Linked DNA regions of Pelodiscus sinensis. The protein of the gene in region 3 purifies or fractionates together with the protein of the main gene of each other region. This does not show direct contact. Links are inferred from orthologs where the notes say so. Each region holds a gene or a part of one and is shown on either strand. Other genes may lie near its edges.

What was found. The genes of interacting proteins can lie anywhere in the genome.
Region 1: the proteins of EXOC2 (region 3) and EXOC6 purify together in Homo sapiens (affinity purification with mass spectrometry; 5 studies listed by BioGRID and IntAct, counting the BioPlex papers as one, with this or other methods). This does not show direct contact. The link is inferred for Pelodiscus sinensis from reciprocal best matches to the Homo sapiens genes EXOC2 and EXOC6.
Region 2: the proteins of EXOC2 (region 3) and EXOC3 purify together in Homo sapiens (affinity purification with mass spectrometry; 6 studies listed by BioGRID and IntAct, counting the BioPlex papers as one, with this or other methods). This does not show direct contact. The link is inferred for Pelodiscus sinensis from reciprocal best matches to the Homo sapiens genes EXOC2 and EXOC3.

What each region holds. Positions count from the first base shown.
Region 1 is NC_134718.1:42,542,562-42,549,529, forward strand, and holds the start of EXOC6 (exocyst complex component 6), read right to left. Parts: upstream 3,092-6,968; 5' UTR 3,019-3,091; coding exon 2,897-3,018; intron 1-2,896. UniProt on the Homo sapiens protein: Component of the exocyst complex involved in the docking of exocytic vesicles with fusion sites on the plasma membrane.
Region 2 is NC_134712.1:144,901,303-144,908,859, forward strand, and holds the start of EXOC3 (exocyst complex component 3), read left to right. Parts: upstream 1-4,466; 5' UTR 4,467-4,587; intron 4,588-5,178; exon of another isoform or gene 5,179-5,201; intron 5,202-7,557. UniProt on the Homo sapiens protein: Component of the exocyst complex involved in the docking of exocytic vesicles with fusion sites on the plasma membrane.
Region 3 is NC_134712.1:115,925,924-115,932,868, forward strand, and holds the start of EXOC2 (exocyst complex component 2), read right to left. Parts: upstream 3,019-6,945; 5' UTR 2,862-3,018; intron 1-2,861. UniProt on the Homo sapiens protein: Component of the exocyst complex involved in the docking of exocytic vesicles with fusion sites on the plasma membrane.

The DNA of each region.
Region 1 (6,968 bases), on a different chromosome or scaffold from region 3:
AGCGCACCCATTATTTTGAAAAATATTTTGAAATAATGGGCGACTTGCGTAGACGCAGGGTAGCTATTTCGGGATACCTCAGTATCCCGAAATAGCCATGCAGTGCAGACGTACCTTTAGAGACCTGCAGCCAAGATTTCTTAGAGCCAACAAGATCTAGGCATAATCTCTGTAGTTTTGTGTTGCTTTTGCAGCGGGATCTATTGGTACTTGAATTTTTCTGTTCAAGCAGAAATAAAAACATGCACTGTCTATATTGACAATACCTGTACAGGTTGGGGGTTTTCAGCCAAAATTGTAGGCTCCAGCAAGTTCCAGCTACTGGATATATGTCTCTGTGGTGCCGTTGATCAGTGATGCATTTTGCAGTGGAATTAGAGCAGCTCGTAGTATTTTTCACTTTAGCTAGTAGAAATTTTGTATGTGGGATAAAAATATTACAAACTGAATCTAACAAGATGCAGGTGTTAGAAGATGGTGTTTTTTGGTACTGCAAGATCAGTTTCTTAAGTATAGATTTCTTTTCAGTATTGTTATTTATTTTCATGGGAACTGCTTAATTTTTTCTCTATTTAACCTATAGAATTTGGCAGATTGGGTATAAAAATATGCAAGATTCCGTTGACTCTGGGTACTAGATACATGTTTTCCACTGCTTTTGGACTCAGATACATCAGGGTTAGTGTTTCCTATAAGCACATGTGTGGCCACCTGGAGAGATTCAAATGCTGCCCAGTTGATTAGCAAAGCACCCAGAGCCAGAAGCATGTGTTTCTACTGATGGTGCACATCTGTACATGTCTTGGTGCACATAAGAACATTTATTCTGCAAATGAATGGAAAAAATTAGAGGGAACATTAATCAGGCTCCTTATTATTGCAGAGAAGTAGGAGCTTTTATACTTGTTTTCTCTTTTTATGATACATTTGGGTTTGAGTTCCAAAAACTGCCAACATTCATGGGCCAGACCTGGATATTTTTACAATGCAAAATCATCTGTGCACAAATGGAGGCCAACTTTAGAAAATTTCATCCTTAAAAGTGAATTTATGGTGTTTCATAGACTAGAAAAGCTAACCTTTGCTAACAGTTAAAAGCATCCGGTGCAGCTGAACAGCCCAGAAAGTGAAATGGTGCTGAACATGATTACAGCTAATGCACAAACAGTAATTAAGCCATCATCAAGCACTAGGCCACAGTTAATGAAACAGTACTGAATGCAGTTTGGGTGTCACCTACAGTTGCAGCTAAATCATGTTCAGCTGAACCTACTGGTGGCATCCATTGTCAGCTACAGAGAGTTTCTCTAACTGTAAAGAAAATCCTGCAAAGTACAGATCAGGCAGTGATACAGAAGAGAGATATTGCAAATTGGCCTACTTACTTACTCCTGAGTCCAACAAACTAGTGCAGTCAATAGTTAGAAATATACTGTTAACCCTGGTCTATAGTAGAAAGTTTTGCTGCATAGCTATGTCAGTTAGGGAAGTAGTAAAAAAAATACACCCCCTACTCACAAGGCTGGAAACCGTAAACTCAAGAGGAAACCGTTTACAGGTTTTAGCTACCTTAGCTATATTATTTCCCTGTAGAAATAATTGAAATATAGTGAAATTCTTCCCACGTTCTTTTTTCCATCACCAATTTTATTTACAGAATAGGGTAATAAATTCAATTTTCAGGAAGAATTAAATTTCTAAATAAAGATATATGGTTTCTTTCTTTAGTATAATCCTTACTGCAAACTGACATCTGCAATACCAGACAAGCTATCCTAACACTGCTGCAGACACCAGTAAAGCTAAACATACAATCTTTAATATATAAGTTTCATGTCCACAAAAATTCAGTAAACTGTAAATGCATTATATCTAAATTTTTCAAAGGCATGTGGGAATTTCACTAAATAAAGTTTAGTAGTGCATGGGGGGGACTTTGATGATAAACAAGGGTAGTGTCTGTCTTAAAATATCCGAATTAAAAGTTACCCATCTATTTTTTTCAAGCATTTTAATTAAATCATTTCATTAAGGAAAAACAGCCATTGTTTCTTGGTTTCATTTATAAAAGTAATTTATTTCTTCATGGAGCACTTGGTAAGTCCAGAGGTGGGCAAAAGGGCCTCTGCGTGCTGGATCCAGCCCGCAGAAGCCCTGCCGCTCCCCCACCCCCAGGCCAATCAGGACTTGGGGGCGAGGGAGCACATGACATCTCCTCCCACCCTCAAGCAGCGTGTGGCACTTTGAAATGCCGCGTGTTCCTTGCAGGGGGTAGGGTGGGAAGAGGAGGCTTCGTGCATTCTCCCCGCCCCCAGGCCAATCAGGGCGTAGGGGTGGGAGAGCTGCCTGAAGCTTCCTTCGACCTGCCCTGGCCCTGCGAAGAGTGTGCAACACTTCAAACTGGCATGCGCTGCTCGCAGGATGGTTTCTTGCAGGCCCTGGAGGCAGGGAAGTGTGTGAAGCCTCTTCCCACCCTGCCAGGGGCATGGGTGCCTAGTGGGAAGGAGGGGCAAATGGGCTCTACCACCCCCAAACCAGTTATGGTCTGGGGGTGGGGAAGCCCAGAAGCATTCTGGCCCCGCCCCTTCCGAATTAGGCCCCGTGCCGGCCCGTGACCACTTAAAATTTTTTTGAAGCGGCCAGTGGGCAAAACTTATTGCCCACCCCTGGGTAAGTCTGTAAAGTCACTCTTTGTTCTGGTGAGAAGGGGCTGAGTAGAGTCTATGCTTGTTCCTTTAAGGTCAAATCCTACTCCCATTGAATTCAAAGGACGTTTTCCTATGGCTTTCAGTGTGTGCAGAATTAGGTCTCCAGTACCCGAGGGTGGGGAAAACAACAGCCAACAAATACAACAAAAACAGTTTGTACAATAAAATATTATATAAACCATGCCTACCTCAAACTGGTTCCAAGAGGCAGCTCAAACGACTCAATCTCAGCCAAGACATTTTCATATATTTGATCTTTGTTTTCTTCTGAATAAAGCTCCAACAAGTTTAATTTGCTTTTTCTAGCCATTGCAGAGCATGAAACAGTTCTAACTTTAGTGCAGGACTTTTATTCTGCTTACGATCACTACCACAATGATTCCATAGTCAGCAAAAGAGCAGTGAAAAACTAGACCCTGGGCTGACCTTGTGATTCCTGAGGACTTTGTGTCCAAGCATGCTGCACAGCTGCTGTTTTCCTATCTTCTGGTAACATGTGCCTATTACTCTGTTCCCACTTAATTAATGTCTTTTCTTGAAAACAGAAGGGAGATTTTGTGAAAAGTATATAACACTTTATAAACATATTTAAAACAGTTCACTGGTGAAAAGTATTTCAGATTTTTGGTGTCCCCTTTCATCTTGTAAGTTAATTATCTTCAAATTATAATTTACACGTGAATTCATACAGGACACCTACCTTTGAGTTCATCTTGTCAATTATTGTCAGTTTGAAAACTATTTTCCTATTTGCCAAATGTTTGTCTTGTCCCTGTTGCTTTGCATGAGACCCACACAAACAGAAACTCCTTAGGGAAAAGGGCTGTGAAAAGCACAAAGTCCACTAAAAAGCAGAGAAATGTTTATGCTTTTTTTTCTCTTTCAGCTCCAGCAATTTTAGGTGTCATTTTTACAGTGTTAGATAAACTGTTCAAATAGAAATGTGGCTTTTAAGTTCATGGTGTCCCTTGGTTCTATAAATTAAATTCACACTAATACATTATGTAGGCCTCAATCCTGCATTGAGACTCCAGACTCAGAGCACCACTTACTTAAAGTCATAGTCTGACCATTAATCTACAATATGGAAAAATATTTGGTACAACTTCCTCAAATGAATCTCAATCTCATCCATTTTTGTCAGACTTGAGAATGAAGTGCTAAATTCATCAAGAATCAAACCTAATGCCAACAGGCAGTGTTGCATGGAAAGGGCAGTCTTTTTATAGCTTACCAATTTTGGTATCTCACTCAGAGACTTAAATAAAAACTTGATTTTGATCCAAATCCTGTGCTTTGCTGCAGTTAATGACACTTTATAAAAAGCCTAGTTGTCTAAAAACAGCAGTGTCTTGCACAAGCTTCTTCTCTATCTATTGCCTTTATTTTTTTAAATAAAAATTAACTGCTCTGTAAGAAACATTCGAGGTGTTCACTGTTGTGTAACACCTAGTGCAAAAGTGGGAAACCTAAGGCCTGGGTGCTGAATTCAGCTCTGGATTGCCTGGATCCAGTCCCTGGGACTCGATGTTCTTCCTCCAGCACACAGAATCTATTAGCCTGCGCCCCTCAGTCGGGAGCCACATCAGTAAGAGTTTAGGTTTTTGTTTGTTTGTTTGTTTGTTTGTTTGTCACTTGTGTGCAGCCCCCAACTAATTTTATTGTGGGTCAGTGGCTTCTAAAAAAAGTTCTCCACACCTGACCTAATGTTTGGGAGTCATCTTTTGGATCATTAATTGTAAATATGCACTTGTGATTGACCCATCCAGCCACTGGATGTCACACAAATCCAGATGAAAGGCTGTCTTGACTAAGAGTTCTAATCTTGAACAATAGGAAGGGAGATTAGGTTTTACTTTTTAAAATAATTTGAGGACATTAGAAGTTAATTTAATACTTAACAATAGTTATTAAAATGATTAGTTAGTGCCCTTAGTCACAACTACCTGTTCTGGTTTTGCCTACTTACAGTACATTTCTGATTCAAGGTCACAAGACATAATAAATGAAACAACAGGACTCCAACTTCCATTAGATCCAGCCACTTAGGACTGTGTCCAGAAATCAATGTGGTTAATTTTTATAAAGGTCTCTGCATCCATCTTATACTCACATCTATGTTATTGTCTATTCTTGAAGGATAAGCGCACCTACTGTTGATTAATGGATTCACTGGATATGTAACATTCTTATCACATAATGTACAAATCCATTTTTTGCTTGTTAGATATCTATCTGGGCTGTGTTAAGTACCTGAAATTAAAGGGCCTACTTATAGATCAAGTCTCTGGAGAGGTGATAGGAAACAGATTAGGGAGGAATGGGCCAGGGAGGAACCAATATTATCTCACCTAAGTGAGGACTCAATTAACTCTAATGGCGGGGGGAAGGTAGGAGGAGAGAATGGCATAGAAGACCCATCAGTACCTGTACAGCAGCAGTTCCCAAACTTTTCGGGAATCACGCCCCCTTTTTAATTTTTGAGAAATCCTCATGCCTCCCCACCTTTTCTTTACCATCCTCCAACTCCCCTTTTAATAAAAAAATCAATTCATAGATTTCTCAGCCTCACGCACCCCCTTAGAATTTCTTTGCACCCGCCCCCCACCCCCCGTTCGGGAACCAATGCTGTAGAGGACTAATCTGTACTAGGCCTCATTGTGAGATGGAGGGCAGGCAAATACTGGTTGTAGCTTCCCTTCTGGGAAAGGAATTGACATTTCCACCCCTTACTCCACAGCCTGCATCTTTCTTAATCCCACCCTGACAGTCAGAGAATGGGATTCAGATATTGCTGTCTCTGTGGTCTCTGCTAGTCCTGGAAATTACCATTAACTCTGCCCCTAAGTATCATCCTTCCTCCCCAATATACGCAGGGCAGGTCTAGTGCTTTAAAAAGTTACTGAAGACTGCATAAGATTCCTTTTTGAATTTGTCCGTCCAGAATCTACCTCAAACCCAAATACTCTTGCCCACATCTCCTTCCCCACTTCTTTTCCCAGGCCCTGCCTTGCCCCACGCCTTATCCAAGGGTCCGCCCTCCTCACTCTATGGAGATGAGGTATAAGGTGAGCAGGGAGGGACACCCTAACACCAGCTCCCCTTTCTCTGCCTCCCCCATCCTGCTTGCTGTGCAGGAGGCTCTCAGGGGGCAGCTCCAAGGCAGAGGGTGGGAGAAGGACAGCAGTGGGAAGTGGGGGTAGGGACAGCTGAAATGCTGGCATTTCATAGCCTCCCTGCCAAACAAGTCAGGATCACCTGGCAGAGGCTCTAGGATCTACCCACAGATCCCAATCTACTGGTTGGTGACCACTGATCTAATGGAACCAGCATTTCCATTTGCCCCAGCATCTCTCCCCATCCCTTGGCATCAAGCAGTGATGCTTGATATTCCCTGTTTGTTGTGACAATTGCCATACCTGCACCCATCCCCCAGAATGCACTGTTCCCCACCCCACAGTGTGCAAGTGCCATCAAGCTGGAGGTCAAGACTTGGGGGAAACATTAAACATTTTAACTGAGCTTTGTTGTAAAGCACCCTCCTGTAGGCAAGTGGAAGTGCTGATGATGGAAACCATGGAAACCATGTATTTGGTGGGAGTTATTACTAATTCAAGTGAGGATGTGCAGCAGCACCCCCAGCACACGTAGTTCCAGCGCCACTGGCTGCATATGTGCAAAGCAGGCACTCATACAAATGTACAAATGCCTGCAAGTGCAGGCTTAGGTGTAGGCACAAGCAGTTATGGAGTGCATATATAGCAGTGTGCTTTCTGTCACTCAGGCACACATTTGAGCATTTAAAGGGGCAGCCCAAACTTTTAAAGCTACTAGTGTCCCAGATATGGCTAGTGTAAAGCCATTTTTATATAAAGTCTATGTAACTCCAAAAGTCTCTCAGAAATACAGAGCTGGACTTCGACTGCTGTGGAGAGAAGCAAAAATCACCTGAGAAAATGGGAGCAGTGAATGCTAGTTAAGTCCTTCATCCATAATTATGCCTTGGAAGAGAAAGACTGCCAGCCACAGCCAGCAGTAATGGCCATGTTTGAATGCCCTCTAGGCATTATGGCTATGAGGTGCCAGAACAACCCATTCCTAGTTCATATCCAGCCTCATCCTGAAACCATGAACTCTCTGCACAATACAATGAGCTGCAGCTAACAATCTCTGGGTAGGGGAATTTGCCAATCCAGGGACACTCAACACTCCACTCCTGTGCATGGAAGGGGTATCCTGACTATAGGCACTTTAGGGATG
Region 2 (7,557 bases), about 29 Mb from region 3:
AATCTCTCCCCCCCCCCCCCCCCCCCCAGCTAGAATCTTAGGACTGGAAGGGACTTCAAGAGATTGTCTAGTCCACCCCTCTGTACTCATATACATCGTATTATTGATGTGATGCAAGAGAAAATGGTCCAAGTATATTGAGTTTTACCCAAGCTAGTGCATGGCACACAGTAATTCTTTGGGGGACCCAAACTGAGAACAGTATTTAAGAAAATGTACATTTTTACACTGCCCATGCACAAAAGTACAGAAAAATAGCTAAAGAGTTTCCATCCCTGACATTTTATGCACTTTAAACTCAACTCTTTAAGTGCTCTAAAATCCAAACAGATACTCAAATTTGCTTTTAAATTTGATATCCTTAATGGAAGCACAAGGCCATCAAATTTGGGGTCATCTGACCAAGGGGTTCTAATTTAGGACATCCCCCAAAAACATTTCTCTTCTTCTGCCTTGTACTGTTAAACTGAGATTAATGACTGGATGAATCACAGACCTCTTCATGACTGTGAACTCACCCTTCAATTAACATAAGTAAGGATAAGTTCTCCATAAACCCTCACCTAAAACATAAGGATTATTGAACTTAGTGGCTGGAGGTTGCTTTAGTTTGTGAGTCCTTGTGTGGTGTGATTTCATTTTGGGGAAAACACAAGAGCTTGGCTACGTCTACACTGGCAGCTTCTTGCACAAGAACTCTTTTGCAGAAGAGTTCTTGTGCAAAAACTCTTCCACAAGAGAGCGTCTACCCTGGCATGTGCTTTTGTGCAAGAGATGTGCAAAGAGATGCGCAAGAGATCCAGGGAACTGACAAGTATAAAAATGGGGTGCTCTTGCCATGGAACTTTGGGTTCTGTCCTGCCTTGGCACTTCGGATCATGACCAACAGAACCCAGCTCCTCACTCATGTTCAATCTAACTGGCCACTAGATTGATTTGAGTTACCACAGACTAGTAACTAGTATCATCTGCTAGACCTGTGTGTGTGGATGCATATGCTACTTTTCCTGTTGTATTGTCAATATATGTGGCATATTGTCTTCCCCCTGAAAAAGATCCTGTGTGCTTCTAATAAGCACAACACAGTATTTGTGAAGGAGCTTGGATGCAGTAGGAGGTTTTTACCTGGGGCAAGATGTTGGGAGTGTGGAAGGGAGTAGGGTATCAGATACAGGCTCTGGCCAGGAATCGAAAGTGTTTACTGGAGACAGAGCCAGGCGGCAGCCCATCAGGATGCTTGGATAGGCTCCCTTCCTTCTGCGGTCCCACACACTATTCAAAGTGGCTGGCTGCTGGGGTCAGTGTGTGTCTCTGGGCAGTGCGCCCCTTGGGAGAAGGGGCTAGCAGGTCTCCATGTGCTGCATGTACCTGCAAGCACTGAGCCTGCAGCTTTCATTGGCTGATTTCTGGCTAATGGGCGCTACGAGGATTGTGCTGGAGGTGGGGGCAGCACACAGAATCCTCTCCGCAAGCAGCATGCACCACACAGAGATACACATGCTTGCCCCAGCAACCGGATGCTTTGAGCAGTGTATGGGACCACAGAAGACAGGGTAGCATCAGGCTGCATTCAAATATTTGGCAGGCTGGATCTGTACAGGCTGTATTTTGCCCATCCCTGCTCTAGCCTTAGGTCTACAATGGCAAAGACATTTTTCCTGTAATGGTAGCTCTGGGCTGGGTGGAGCCAGCCATCAAAAGCAGGGAATGTCCAGTGCTTCTCCTTGTTTTCTCAATGACTCATCTGCTGCAGAGGTAGATTTAAATGAAACATACCGTACCCTGGCATGCCCCCTCCCAATGACACAGAGCCCCCCTGGGCTGGGCAGTCCAGTACCGGATCCAACACCCCCCCACACAGGGGGTGGCCACTCTGCAGGGAAGTGGGGGCCAGTCCCTCTGCAGAAAGGGCTGGGTGGGGGGGAGAGCAAGAGAGCAGGGAGGCCCACCTGCAGACTGCAGCCTCAGGTGAGCTGTCAGAAGGTAGTGAGCAGTGCAAACATGATCTGGAAGGCTTCAGAAGAGCCACACAGCCGGCCAGAGAAAAGCGGTGCTTTGAAGCGGGAAAGCGCTGCTTCTCTTTGGCCGCCAGCTGTGCATCTACCCAGTGATCTCTAACGCCTTCCAGCCTGTGTTTGTGCTGCTGGATGCCACCTGGTGAGTGGTGGCTGCCCGCAGGCAAGGGGGAGAGTGGCCAGGGGATAGAGAGCCCAGGACGGGGAGAGGGGCAGCACTCAGATGACTGATAGCACTATGCCTCCCTCACCTTTAGGTAAAGCACATGTGGGTCTCTGCCCACTTCTTCAGGCCAGCCAATGCAGGGCCACTGGGGCACCTGAAGGTGTCCTCTGCAGCCACAGAGATTTTTTTTTTTTAAATAAAGCACTCTTATCCAAAGCACTTTGCAGTAATTAGCGAATGGTACAAACAATATTTGGAAAGATCATTAAGTGGTCCACCCGAGACCTTCAGCAAATTTCAAATGGTCTGTGGAAAAAAAAGTTAGACTACAAAAACAATCAAGGCGCCTCACTTTATTTTCATTTACTTCTTATTACTTATAATATAGAAGGAGGGGGGCAAAAAGGAAGCTGAGCACTGGGCCTCACTAACTCTAAATCTGCCACTGATCAGCTGGCAAGTAGGGAATGAGGAGGAGGGAGCTGCCTGATTCAAAGAAGGGACAAAAGTTGAACTAGAGGGAGGGAAAGGAGTAGACTAGTAGACTAGGCTAAGGAGTCTGGTGGAACTGGGTCTGGTGTGGAAGGGGGCAGAAACCGTCTGCAGTGTTGCCAACACTCATTATTTTGTCATGAGTCTCATAATAATTATTGTTTGCCTTAAAGCCCCAGCTCGTACAGTCAAACAAAGATGCGATGTTTTCAGCCTTTATTCTCAAAGGAAAAATGAGTGTCTAGCCCTTATGGTTGTGGAGAAATTTTCAAAGTATGATCCCCATGCACCCTAAAGGCTCAAAAAGCAAATGAAAACCCATTTTTACATAATCTCATGATTTCTGAACATTTCCAGTTTTCTGGAGTTCAGCAGAAAAGGACCTGGGGATTACGGTGGGTGAGAAGCTGGATATGAGTCAACAGTGTGCCCTGGTAGGCCAGAAGGCTAATGGCATATTAGGGTGCATTAGGAGGAGCATTTCCAGCAGATCTAGAGAAGTTATCATTCCCCTTTATTCAGCACTGGTAGGGCCACACCTGGGCTACGTCTAGACTGGCATGATATTCCGCAAATGCTTTTAACGGAAAAGTTTTCCATTAAAAGCATTTGCGGAAAAGAGTGTCTAGATTGGCACGGACGCTTTTCCGCAAAAGCACTTTTTGTGGAAACAAAATACAGGACTATGTAGCACTTTAAAGACTAACAAGATGGTTTATTAGATGATGAGCTTTCGTGGGCCAGACCCACTTCCTCAGATCAAATAGTGGAAGAAAATAGTCACAGCCATATATATACCAAAGGATACAATTAAAAAAAAATGAACACATATGAAAAGGACAAATCACATTTCAGAGCAGAAAGATTCTGTACCAATCTAGACGCGCTTTTGCGCAAAAAAACCCCGATCGCCATTTTCACGATCGGGGCTTTTTTGTGCAAAACAAATCTGAGCTGTCTACACTGGCCCTTTTGCGCAAAGGCTTTGCACAAAAGGGACTTTTGCCTGAACAGGAGCAGCATAGCATTTCCGCAAGAAGCACTGATTTCAGACAGTAGGAAGTCAGTGTTCTTGTGGAAATTCAAGCGGCCAGTGTAGACAGCTAGCAAGTTTTTCCGCAAAAGCAGCTGCTTTTGTGGAAAAACTTGCCAGTCTAGACACAGCCCTGGAGTATGGCATCCAGTTTTGGGCCCCCCACTATAGAAAGCATTGGAGAAGGTCCAGCGGAGGGTAACCAAAATGATTAAGGGGCTGGAGCACATAACCTATGAGGAAAGGCTCAACCATTTGGGCTTATTTAGTCTGCAGAGTGAGGGGGGATTTGGTAGCAGCCCTCAACTTCCTGAAGGGGGGTTCCAAAGAGGATGGAGAGAGGCTGTTCCTAGAAGTGAGGGATGGCAGAACAAGGAGCAATGGTCTCAGATTACAGTGGGGGAGGTCTAGGTTGGCTATTAGGAAAAACTATTTCACTGGGAGGGTGGTGAAGCACTGGAATGGGTTCCCTAGTGGAGTCTCCATCCCTAAAGATTTTTAAGTCCTGGCAAACGTGTCTTGCCCGGGAGCTGCGCGCACAGAGGCTGACAGCCCAGGGAAAAGCAGCTCCCAAGGACACGCTTTCGAATCCCGCCCCGCCACCAGGGGGTAGGGAAGGGCGAACGCCACGCCACGCCCCTCGCTCGGACACAGCATTGAAGACTATCAGCGCAGGCGCAATGGGGAATTGGGAAGGAAAGGACTGGCAGAGGATAATACGCATGCGCAGTATGAGAAGCGGGGAGGGAGGGAGAGCGAATTGGTTTCGCGCTTGCGCAGTGAGCCTGAGGTGCCGGGCGGTCGCTCTGCGATTCCGGCGTCCAGGGCGGCGCCTGCGCATTGCGCGCCTGTCAGTGACTTCCTGGGAGCTGGCAGCGCAGGTACGAAGTGGCGGCCTTCGAGGCCGGTGTCGCTCCGCCTGGTCCCCGCGGGGCGCCGGCTGCGGGCAGGACCGGGCTCTGGGAGCGCGGGGCCGAGCACTGCGGGAAGCCCTGGCCGAGGAGAGGTTGGGGCGGGGGCAGGTTGGCAGGGGCAGGTGGGATGGGGGGGGGTTGGTTTCTGCCCCCTTGCCACGACGCTCTGGCAGCTACTGCGCGGAGCAGCCGTTCCCGTCCCTGCGAGCGTGACCGTAACCCTGGGGGGGGGGGGGGCTGTGCCGGTCCTAGCTCATCTCGGGGCCTCTTTGTGCTGCTGGGGTGCGGGCACAGGGCGAGGGGCCAGATGGGCTGGGCCTGGGTGGGATCCTGTCGAGTTACCTTCCGGGGTCCTTGCGTTATTACTGATGGGGCGGGGGGACCGGAGGGTCTGGTGTCAATTTGAGGATTCGCGGAGGCCAGTGCAGAAGAGAAGCCAGAGAACCTTTGAAGGACTCCCCATTGCTCACGGCCTACAGAATCGAAATATCAAACCTGTTCAATGTGGGGCGCTGTTTTAAATTTTGCCCTTTTACTTACTTCCCTGATGTGGCAGCTGTCCAGAAGCACCTGTGCATTAGGTAGGAGCCTCTTTTGAAGCACAGAAGGGAAGGGTGACCCTACCCAGTCTTTTTACTTTTCTTTCTTCTCTTTTTTTCTTAACTCTCATTACAGAATCCCAATGCTCCTTCATATTTTCCAGTTTTGTGATCTCCAACGCCTCTTTTCTCTGCCCCTTGAAAAATGTCAGCCTCATAATTCAGTTTGGACAAACTTGTTTTAAACAAGTATTTACAACTTATTAATTTAGATAGCTGTATTAGCTCCATTTTGAGCACTACACCGGTAAAATTTTTAAACAGAATATCAAGAAATCTGTGTTATGTTTCCCACAGTCCCTGAGGCCCTCAGTCCCTATCAAGCCTCTCTCTGGTAGTAGGTGCTGAGCAAACATATAGGAAGAAGTAATGCTTCCCTAATATGTTTATGGTATAAAAATTCAGAAAACAGAAAGGTAGTGTGATACTGTATCCAAGCAACATAATATTGATTGTATCTTTTTTAGTTCTATGTTTTATTTTAAATATAAATACTTTTAAACGGCTTGTCCCGTTTAGCAGGGAAAAAAACAGGTATTCTGGCAGCTGCATCAGTCTTTTATTCAAGAGGCTTGACTCTGGAGCTGGAGGTGCTCCATGTGGTTTTAAAGGGGCTTGCTGAGATGTCGTTTTGGACAGAAAGATGTCAGTGGCTGGAAATTCCCTACTGTTGTTCAAGTCCAATCAGAGAGAGAATTTCAGTGTTAATTTTCATAGTCCAAGCTCTCACCTCACTAGGGTGCAGAGGATGATGGAGTAGTTGTGCCAGTGTCTGCTTCCAAGATTTCTCATGATTTCCAAACAACAGCTAAGTGAAATTGACATGGTTTTTGTTAGTTTGCTGCACCTATAGTATTATGTAGTATCAGTCTTGTTAATTTCACTCTGTAGATGATTGGGAAAATCATGAAGAGCAACAAAGGCACCAGAGCTTGTTTGTCTACAAACTCAGAAAGATAACACATCATGGGTTAATGCTTTCATATTGAGAAGATTACCCTGACAGCTGTAAATCTGAAAACCTTATTTTTTAACTTAACGTTTAAGCTCCTTAGAAAATTAATAGCTTAGGCCTTCTTCCTTAGCACATAATAGGCCTTATTTGCAACTAATAAAAGAATTTTTCAAATGCTGTCAAATTATATAATTTGTTTATAAAGCCAGCACATCGATCGTATATACTTGATTGTTGTCTGTCCCAAGAGGAAATTGTCAACAATCAATGAAAACATCCTATACTAAATCCATGCTTAACATTAAGGTTGTAGGGACTGATGATCAGATTGAGATGAGTCTGGAAAGCCCCATTTATTAATATAATCTGTTTAACATAGGGGTTTAGAGACAGAGTGGTAGTTGACAAGACTGTTAAAGTCAAGAAATGCTTCCTTGAAGAGGAGTCTCACCAGTGCCTTTTCAAAGGGTTGGTGTACCCTCCTTTCACAATGGAAAGTGTTAATGATCCTCACAGAAGATAGCTCCAAACCTCCCACATTGGTCTATACAGCCACCATTGCCAAAGATCCAGCTTTATGAATTTGCCACTGAAATAATTTGCTTTTATTAATAATGCAGAAACAAATTCGATGGTGTATTGTCATGCAATTTATACATTAGGTGTTGGTCTTTGGATGATTTGAGAATTTATTAGGCATTATAGGGAATCACTAAACTGCATCTGAGAGCGAATTTCTCAGGCCAGGTCCAGAGACTTATGATAATAGGGGTGGTGCTGTAGTGCTAAAAATAGCTGTGTAGCCATTTCTTTGATGTTGCAGCTCCAGCTGGAACTGGGCTGGGAGATTCACTCTCAGATGCAATGCAGACGTTTTTAGTGACGGTATGAGAGTATATACTTGTCTGGTTTTATTTTTCTGTGTTTAAATAAACACCTTCAAAAATGTTAAACTTGACATATATCCTTCAAATCAGTACTACATATCTGCTTAAAATGTTCTGAAATAACAAAATGCTTAAAGGGTTGGAGAAGTATATTGAGCAAATGTGGTTTCCTCCCTTTAATATCAGAAGGATATACTGAGGTTTTTCCTGGAATAGATATGTCTTAGAATATGGGGAGGGGAAGTGGATAAGAAACAAGAGGATCTAAGATACTAATAATAATACAGAGAAAAACTGATAGGATGGAGTTAAGACTGCTAGGTAGTACTTAATCCTCCCATGAGTGCAGGGGACTAGACTAGATGACATCTTGAGGTCCCTTCCATCCTATGATTCTACATCAGTAATTTAGGGTAAAATACAATACAGGGATATTGTAATTCTATTAAAAAATTAGAATGTCAAGAAACTCACATTTAAGATTAAACTTAAAAGA
Region 3 (6,945 bases):
ATATAACTAATATGCATGCAGTCTAGGATGTGGTTAAGATTCTAAAGGTAAACTGAGCCTTTTCATTATAAACCTCTAATTTCAGGAATTTGTAATCTAGGATTAAAAAATGTGCCCAAGACTGAATTTTGGCAAGAGAACCCAAAAGACAGGTGGGTTTTCCTCCATCAAATTAGGGTGGGGGGACTTGCCGCTGGTTTTGAGATATAGGAATGTAAACAACCAGATTAATTTTCAGTTTGCTTTTATACTTTAATTTGAAATCTGTTTTATTTTTGCAACTGATACTTTGTACACGTAAACACAGACTAGTGCCTTTGGCTACACTGATGTTAGGAGGATGGAATGTGAAAAGTTACCACTATGCACATGCACTATTATCCATGAGGATTTGTTTGTTTGGTTGGTTTTTTTTCTTTTAATCACACTTACTTCATATGATATTAAAATCTCTGGCCTAGACCATCTCCCACATGTACAGGGAACCCTCACGAGACATTTCTTCTCCCCCATTTTGTTTACACTATGGAAGGCTATCCATAAACCACAGGTGCACTGTATGTGATGAGTAAGTAAGTAGGTCAGAATGAAGAGGAAGCGTGTGGATGGATCAGAGGCCAGACTAGTGGTGGATGAACATGATTTCTTTCCATATCCACTAGTATATTTAGAGGTGGGTCAGCTAAGGCCTGAAGCTCTGGACCACCAAACAGATATAGCTAGGGATCCACTAACTACATCGAAGGTGGGCACTATAGCCTTTTCTATAGGAAGAAAAAACTCACCTTTCCCTAAGAGCAGAGGGATTCTCAAGAAAAAGTCTTCCTAACCTCCTCATCTATAAACCAGTTCATTGGATCAAACCAACATTTTAGTGCAAGCACCTGGATAAAGGCTGGTACAATAATAACTAGCTTTTACCCAGAACTTTTTATCAACAGATCTCAACGTGCTTTTCAAGGCAGTCATTATCATTATTATATAACAGCCAGGGAAGCAGCAGCACAGAAGTTAAGTCACTCATTCTGTGACAAGATACATTTAAAGAAAACTGCCAAAATACTTATACATGCTAGCCTTTCAGAGACTGTAGCTCTGAGCAGTAGCAATCTTTTTGCATTACATGCCTGTTTTTGCCAGAAACAGAGATTCAGGATAAATTATTATCCAGGTTGTTTTACATAAATTGACACCACATTATAAGCTTCACAGGATTTTAATAAAGATTAGTAATGAAGAAAGAAAAAACTACAAGTAGTCTAGTAGCACTTAAAGACTAACAAAACATGTACTGTAGATGGTTTCATGAGTTTTCGTGGGCACAACCGTCTAAAGAAAGAAAAAGTACATTCCTGCTTAACTAGTAGAATATAAGCTCACCAAATCACTATTTAATTTCTCTATACCCTAATCTAATTAACACACTTGTTCAATATATAGGGCTACCACTATTTTTATCTATTACACATTGTTTCTCACCACTGCTGTTCAATGGTGGGCACAGCAATGAAACTGACACGAATTGCATCAGGAGCTGCTGGAGGTCCTGGCCTGGATGCAGCCTGCTCCAGGGGCCTCAAGGCTTCCAAACTCTTGGACCAGCTGAGCTGCCCAGCTCCCCCAGCATAAGTCGTCAGATGGCCAGGCATCCAGCTAGCCAGGGAGCCTAACTCATGCAAGATCTACAATTTATTAGTGCATCCAAGCTCCCTGATGCAGACTCAAAGCTAGGGCCCTCAAAGTTTTCAGGCTCCCATGCCACTGCATGAAGTCTGGAAGTAGTATGTTACTTTTCTACTGTACCTTATAATGAAGAGCAACTGCCACCACTACTGGCCCATTTACTATATTTATGGTGCCTTTAAATTGTAAAGTCTTTGTATTATCAGTGATTTTATCCCTCATTGAGGAATATAACTGCAGTGCCACAGACATAATTTAAATAAGAGCTTCCATTCAAATGAAAAACACATGTTTTTATATGGGTCTTCCAGATTTGATAACAAGCAGATGAACAGGATCCTGTTTAAAGCACCCCAAAACGACAGCATGGTTGAAGCCTCAGCTGCAGGTACTTTCTACATGACTAAGTGACCAAGTCCATAAAATATCGGTGATTATGTGACCAACTATATGGGTATGTGTACAGTGCTTTATGAATTCAGATCTGAGAGACCTGGGGCTTGTGGACTTAGTGGGTATGTCTACACTGCAATTAGACTTCTGTGGTGGCCCCTGCCAGCTGACTGAGGCTCCTGGAGCTCAGGCCAAGGAGCTGTTCTATTGCAGCACGGACATTTGGTCCACTCTAGAGGACTTTAGCGTGACAGCTTGGGCTGTAAGGCCTGGCAAGCTGGGAGGGTCTCAGACTTCAGCCCAAGCAACTACAACACTGAGCGCCTCGTCCAGAGCCAGCCTAGCACAGTTCAGCTCGCACGGGCCAGCCACAGCAGCAGAGACACGCGCAGTGTTTCCAAGCCAGGGCTCAAGCATCCACCGCCCCTCCGCACCGGCCCCACGGGCAGTGCTGGCGCCGAGCCGCTGCCACCGGCGCTGCCCCGCGGCACGGAAGTGGCTGGCGGCAGCTCGGCGGGGCCCAGCGCGGAGACAAGCGGGGCCTCCGCAGTGTGCGGCTGGGGGGCGGGGGCAGCGCTTGGCCTCTGCCGCGCACATCCAGCGCCCGGCGGGGGCAGCGTACCGGGCGGATCCCAACGGCCCGATCCGGATCGTTATTAGCAACGGCGGCAGCGAGACCCCGGGGCAGGAGGCGCGCGGCGGGGGTGCGGCCCGAGGCCAGTGACTAGGAGCCGGCTCGCGCTAACGTGCGTGTGTCCGGGATGGGAGGGGGGGGGAGCACTCACCGGCCGCTGCGCTGTTTGAAACCGGCACTGGGCAGCGTCGCTCCAGGTAGCGCCTCCGCCTCCCGCACAGCCAGGCCGCCGCAATGGAGTCCGGACGCATCGATCGCCCGGGAGGCGGAACCGGAGCAATCGAGCGGCAGCCCCGCCCCTCCCGCTTGGGCCGCGCCTTCCTTCTCCCGGCCCCGCCCCTGAGCTCCTTCCTCGCTGCCTCCAGCCCGGGCCGCCCAGTGCCTGCGCGTTCGGTCCCTTCGCCCTCAGCCGCAGCGCGAGGCCACGGCGGGCTGCTGGGTTTGGCGCCGCGCACGGGGCAGGGAGCCGGTTGAGCTCGTAAAGAAAGGAAAGCACCGAGGAGGTGCGGAGGAAGCCCGCCCGGGGACAGACTTGCCGCTCCTGCCAAGCGCTCCCAGGGCCTGCAACCTGCAAACGAGTCGTTTTCTGCTTCCAGTCGGGCTTCTGCCCTGAGCGAGCCAGGAGGGTGGTTTTTGCTGGTGGTTGGACTTTGTAAACATCTTAGTCCCGTTCTTCAGCCCGTAGGGTGCGGGGCTAATGGAAAGTGTTGTAGAAAGACTTTGGGTAGGTCTAGACTACAGGCTTTTGTCAACAGAGGTTTTTGTGGACAGAGAGGATAGGTCTACACTACAGCTGTCTACACATTGGGGTGATCTAGCGCCAAAGTGGCTGTTTTTGCGCAAAAACTTGCTGCCTGTCTACACTGGCCAGGAGTTCTTGCGCAAGAACACTGACGTTCTAATGTGTGAAATCAGAGCTTCTTGTGCAAGAACTATGATGCTCCCGCTCAGGAATAAGCCCTCTTGCGCAACTGTTCTTGCACAAGAGGCTAGTGTAGACAGGCAGCATGAATTTCTTACGCAAGAAAGCCCGATAGCTAAAATGGCCATCGGAGCTTTCTTGCGCAAGAGAGCGTCTACACTGGCATGGATGCTCTTGCGCAAAAGCCATCTCTCGCACAAAGGCACATGCCAATGTAGACGCTCTCTTGCGCAAATACTTTAATGCAAGAACTCTTGCGTTAAAGAGTATTTGCACAAGATCATGCCAATGTGGATGTAGCCATGTAGATTACCTTTCTAGACATAGGAAAATGAAGTGGCGATTTAAATAATGCCTGGCGGGATGAGGTTTACCGGGGAGGTCGACAAATGCTTTTGATGTCGACCGTGGAGTGTCCAGACTACAGAGCTGTGCCGACAAACAGCTGATTGGCACAGTGCGGCAGCAATTTTAATTTAAATGAAGCGATGATTATTTAAATTGCCGCTTCATTTTCCTATGTCTACATAGGTAATCTACATGGCTCTGTTGACGGAGCCATGTAATGTAGACATACCCATACTGTTGACAAAGCTTCTGTCGACAAAGAGTGTCTTGACTACATCCAGTTCTGTCAACAAAGCAAGCTGCTTTGTCGACATGACGGTGTAGATGCAATAATACCTTCTGTCAACAGAACTCTGTTGACAAAAGACGTTATTCCTCGTAGAACGAGGTTTACAGCCGTTGACAAAACTGCAGAGTTCTGTCGACGTTATGTCGACAGAACTCAGCAGCAGTGGAGACGCAGGTATAGTTTCGTCGACAAAAGTCCACTTTTGTCAACAAAACTCTGTAGTCTAGACACACCCTTTGAGGCCATGGCTACCCTGGCAGATGGAAAATGCTGGCAACTGCAGCGCTGCTTGCAAAGTGCAGCAATGAAACCACAGTTGGGTGGCCACAGTGTTAGCTGCCAGTTCATTAGCCTGGCAACACTCATGGCACTTGCAGCACACTGCATTCTGGGCAGCTATCTCCCAGAGCACCTCTTCCCCTTCAGAGGTGTTGGGAGGCACAGGACACCCTGAGCCCTGTCCCAGCTACGGATGTTAGATATTATTTAATTTAATGATCACATAACCACATCAGTTGCAGGATTATGCAATGGCTCCTGAGGATGGAGGCAGCAGCCAAGTGCGCTCCCAGACCCAGGGAGCCCCTACCACACTGCACTGCTGCCTCTGATACAGCTCCCCTGCCTGCTCTTCATTTACAACTCAGACTGATAGGCTGATTGAGCCAGCCTGCCAGTCCAAGTTTTAAATGCAGAGCATGAGGGGGGGGGGTGTTATTGTGGTTAACTGGGACTGTTAACCAATAAGCAATAGCTTATCGGTTAAACAATTAACCACTAACATCCCTAATCCCAGTGGCCCCTAGTGCAGATGTTCTCAAACTTTGTGATACCGTGACCCCTCTCTAAGTTGCTCACGACCCCCCCCCCAGGGAGGTCAGGACGCACAGTTTGAGAAACACGGCCTTAGTGCATCACTTCACATCTCAACAACCCTGGCACTTCCGTCCGCATTTGGTACCATGTTTCAACAATTTGCTGCATGCTCTGCCTCCTGGGTGTGTGGGAATGTTGATGAAAATGCTGACAGGTCATGCCGATGAACTATTGCTGATGGGCTATTGCAAGCCTCCGTAGGGAAGTGCGATGTCAACATGGGAAAGTTACAATAACTTAATTTAAATCAGTTTTTATACCACTGTCATTAAACTGGTATAAACTTTGCTGTGGACACTCTTAGTTTGGTTTAAGAGTGGCATCATGTGGTTTAGTTTAAACTTTTAATTAATTTTTATCTAAACAAAATATAAGTATCTGTAATCATTTAATTAAATTGGTTTAAAAAAATCACACCAATAGTTAAACCACTGCAACTCTCTCATGTAGACAAGCCCTTAAATTGATTTTAAAACCTGGTTTATATAGTAAATCTGACTGTATAAGTTAAATTAATATGAACCAGATTAAAATGAATTTAAGTGTCCACACAGAGATTTGTACCAGTTTAAGTAAGTAGATTTATGATGTATCTTTAATCAAACCAGTATGTGCAGGCAAGACCTCATAAGAGTCAATGCTGGGCTTCTACTGGGAGCGGTCTCTAGTGAATGAATATTTTCACATCTTAAAAGAAGGACCAAGGTTACTGAATATTTAACAAAACCTTCCTTTTAGCCCAACTGTAACCCACTTAAATTATATAGCTGTTAAAAGAGGAAAAGAACAGCTTTAAACAATCTGGCTAAAAATCCTTCCCCTTTTTAATACTTCAGCTTTCTGTCTCTTAGCTTTTATGAGGTCAACGTTGAATTAGTTGTCCACTCACATTTAGACAGGATCTGAATTTTTACCGTTAAAAGTACAAAGAAAAAAATCTTCAGGCATTTTCCATATATCCTAAAGAAGTGAAAAAGTGCATAGGTTCAGGAGTTTTGTATGGTATAGTGTAGGGGAGCCTAAACAGCCCTGTCTTGACCAAGACAGCGTCTGCTTTACTCAAAGTAAAGATCTCTAACAAAGCAAAACCCAAGCCTGTCTCAAGTCTGGTGCACGTAGCATGCAGGTAAGGCTGGGGCTTTGAAGCAGGAATGTTTTTGCACAATCATGCATTTCCAGCATAGTTCAGTGTGATAATGCCAAGAGAACTGGATTAATCTAGTACTGATACATTTTATTCCTAATAAGAAAAAGCAGATACAGTCATAGAACTGTTAACCAAGCACATACTTTTTGCAACATCTTGAGTAGTAGGATGTACCCCTAATAAAGGCACAATAGGTATCTTACACAATATGTAATCAATTAGTAGATATTATTAGAATGACCAAGTCTTGCTTTGCTATAAAATGGGCTTAGCAAGAAGAATTGATGGGAGGTAGTAAGCAGGATTGACCCACAAGTCCTTCTTATTGTAACTAAAAGTAAAAGACCATTCACACTAGCTGTGGCAGTGCACAGCGTCCCTAAGTGTGGCAGTAAAAGGGACAATGAACCTCCTGCAGGTGGCATGTGAATGAAGTGTAAGTGAACAAGGCTTAATTATTGCATTATAATAAATCTCCTATTAATTGCTTTTGTATTGTTTTGTATTGTATTAATTGCTTTACAAATTTGTAGTATTTAAGGCTTAAATTGTATAGTAATTGTTTTTTGAGGCTTGTAAAACAAAGGACTATATTAACAGCTTGAAGACTTGCAATAAATGAGGAAGTGGTTAAGTCTCTTTGGAGTGTCCTA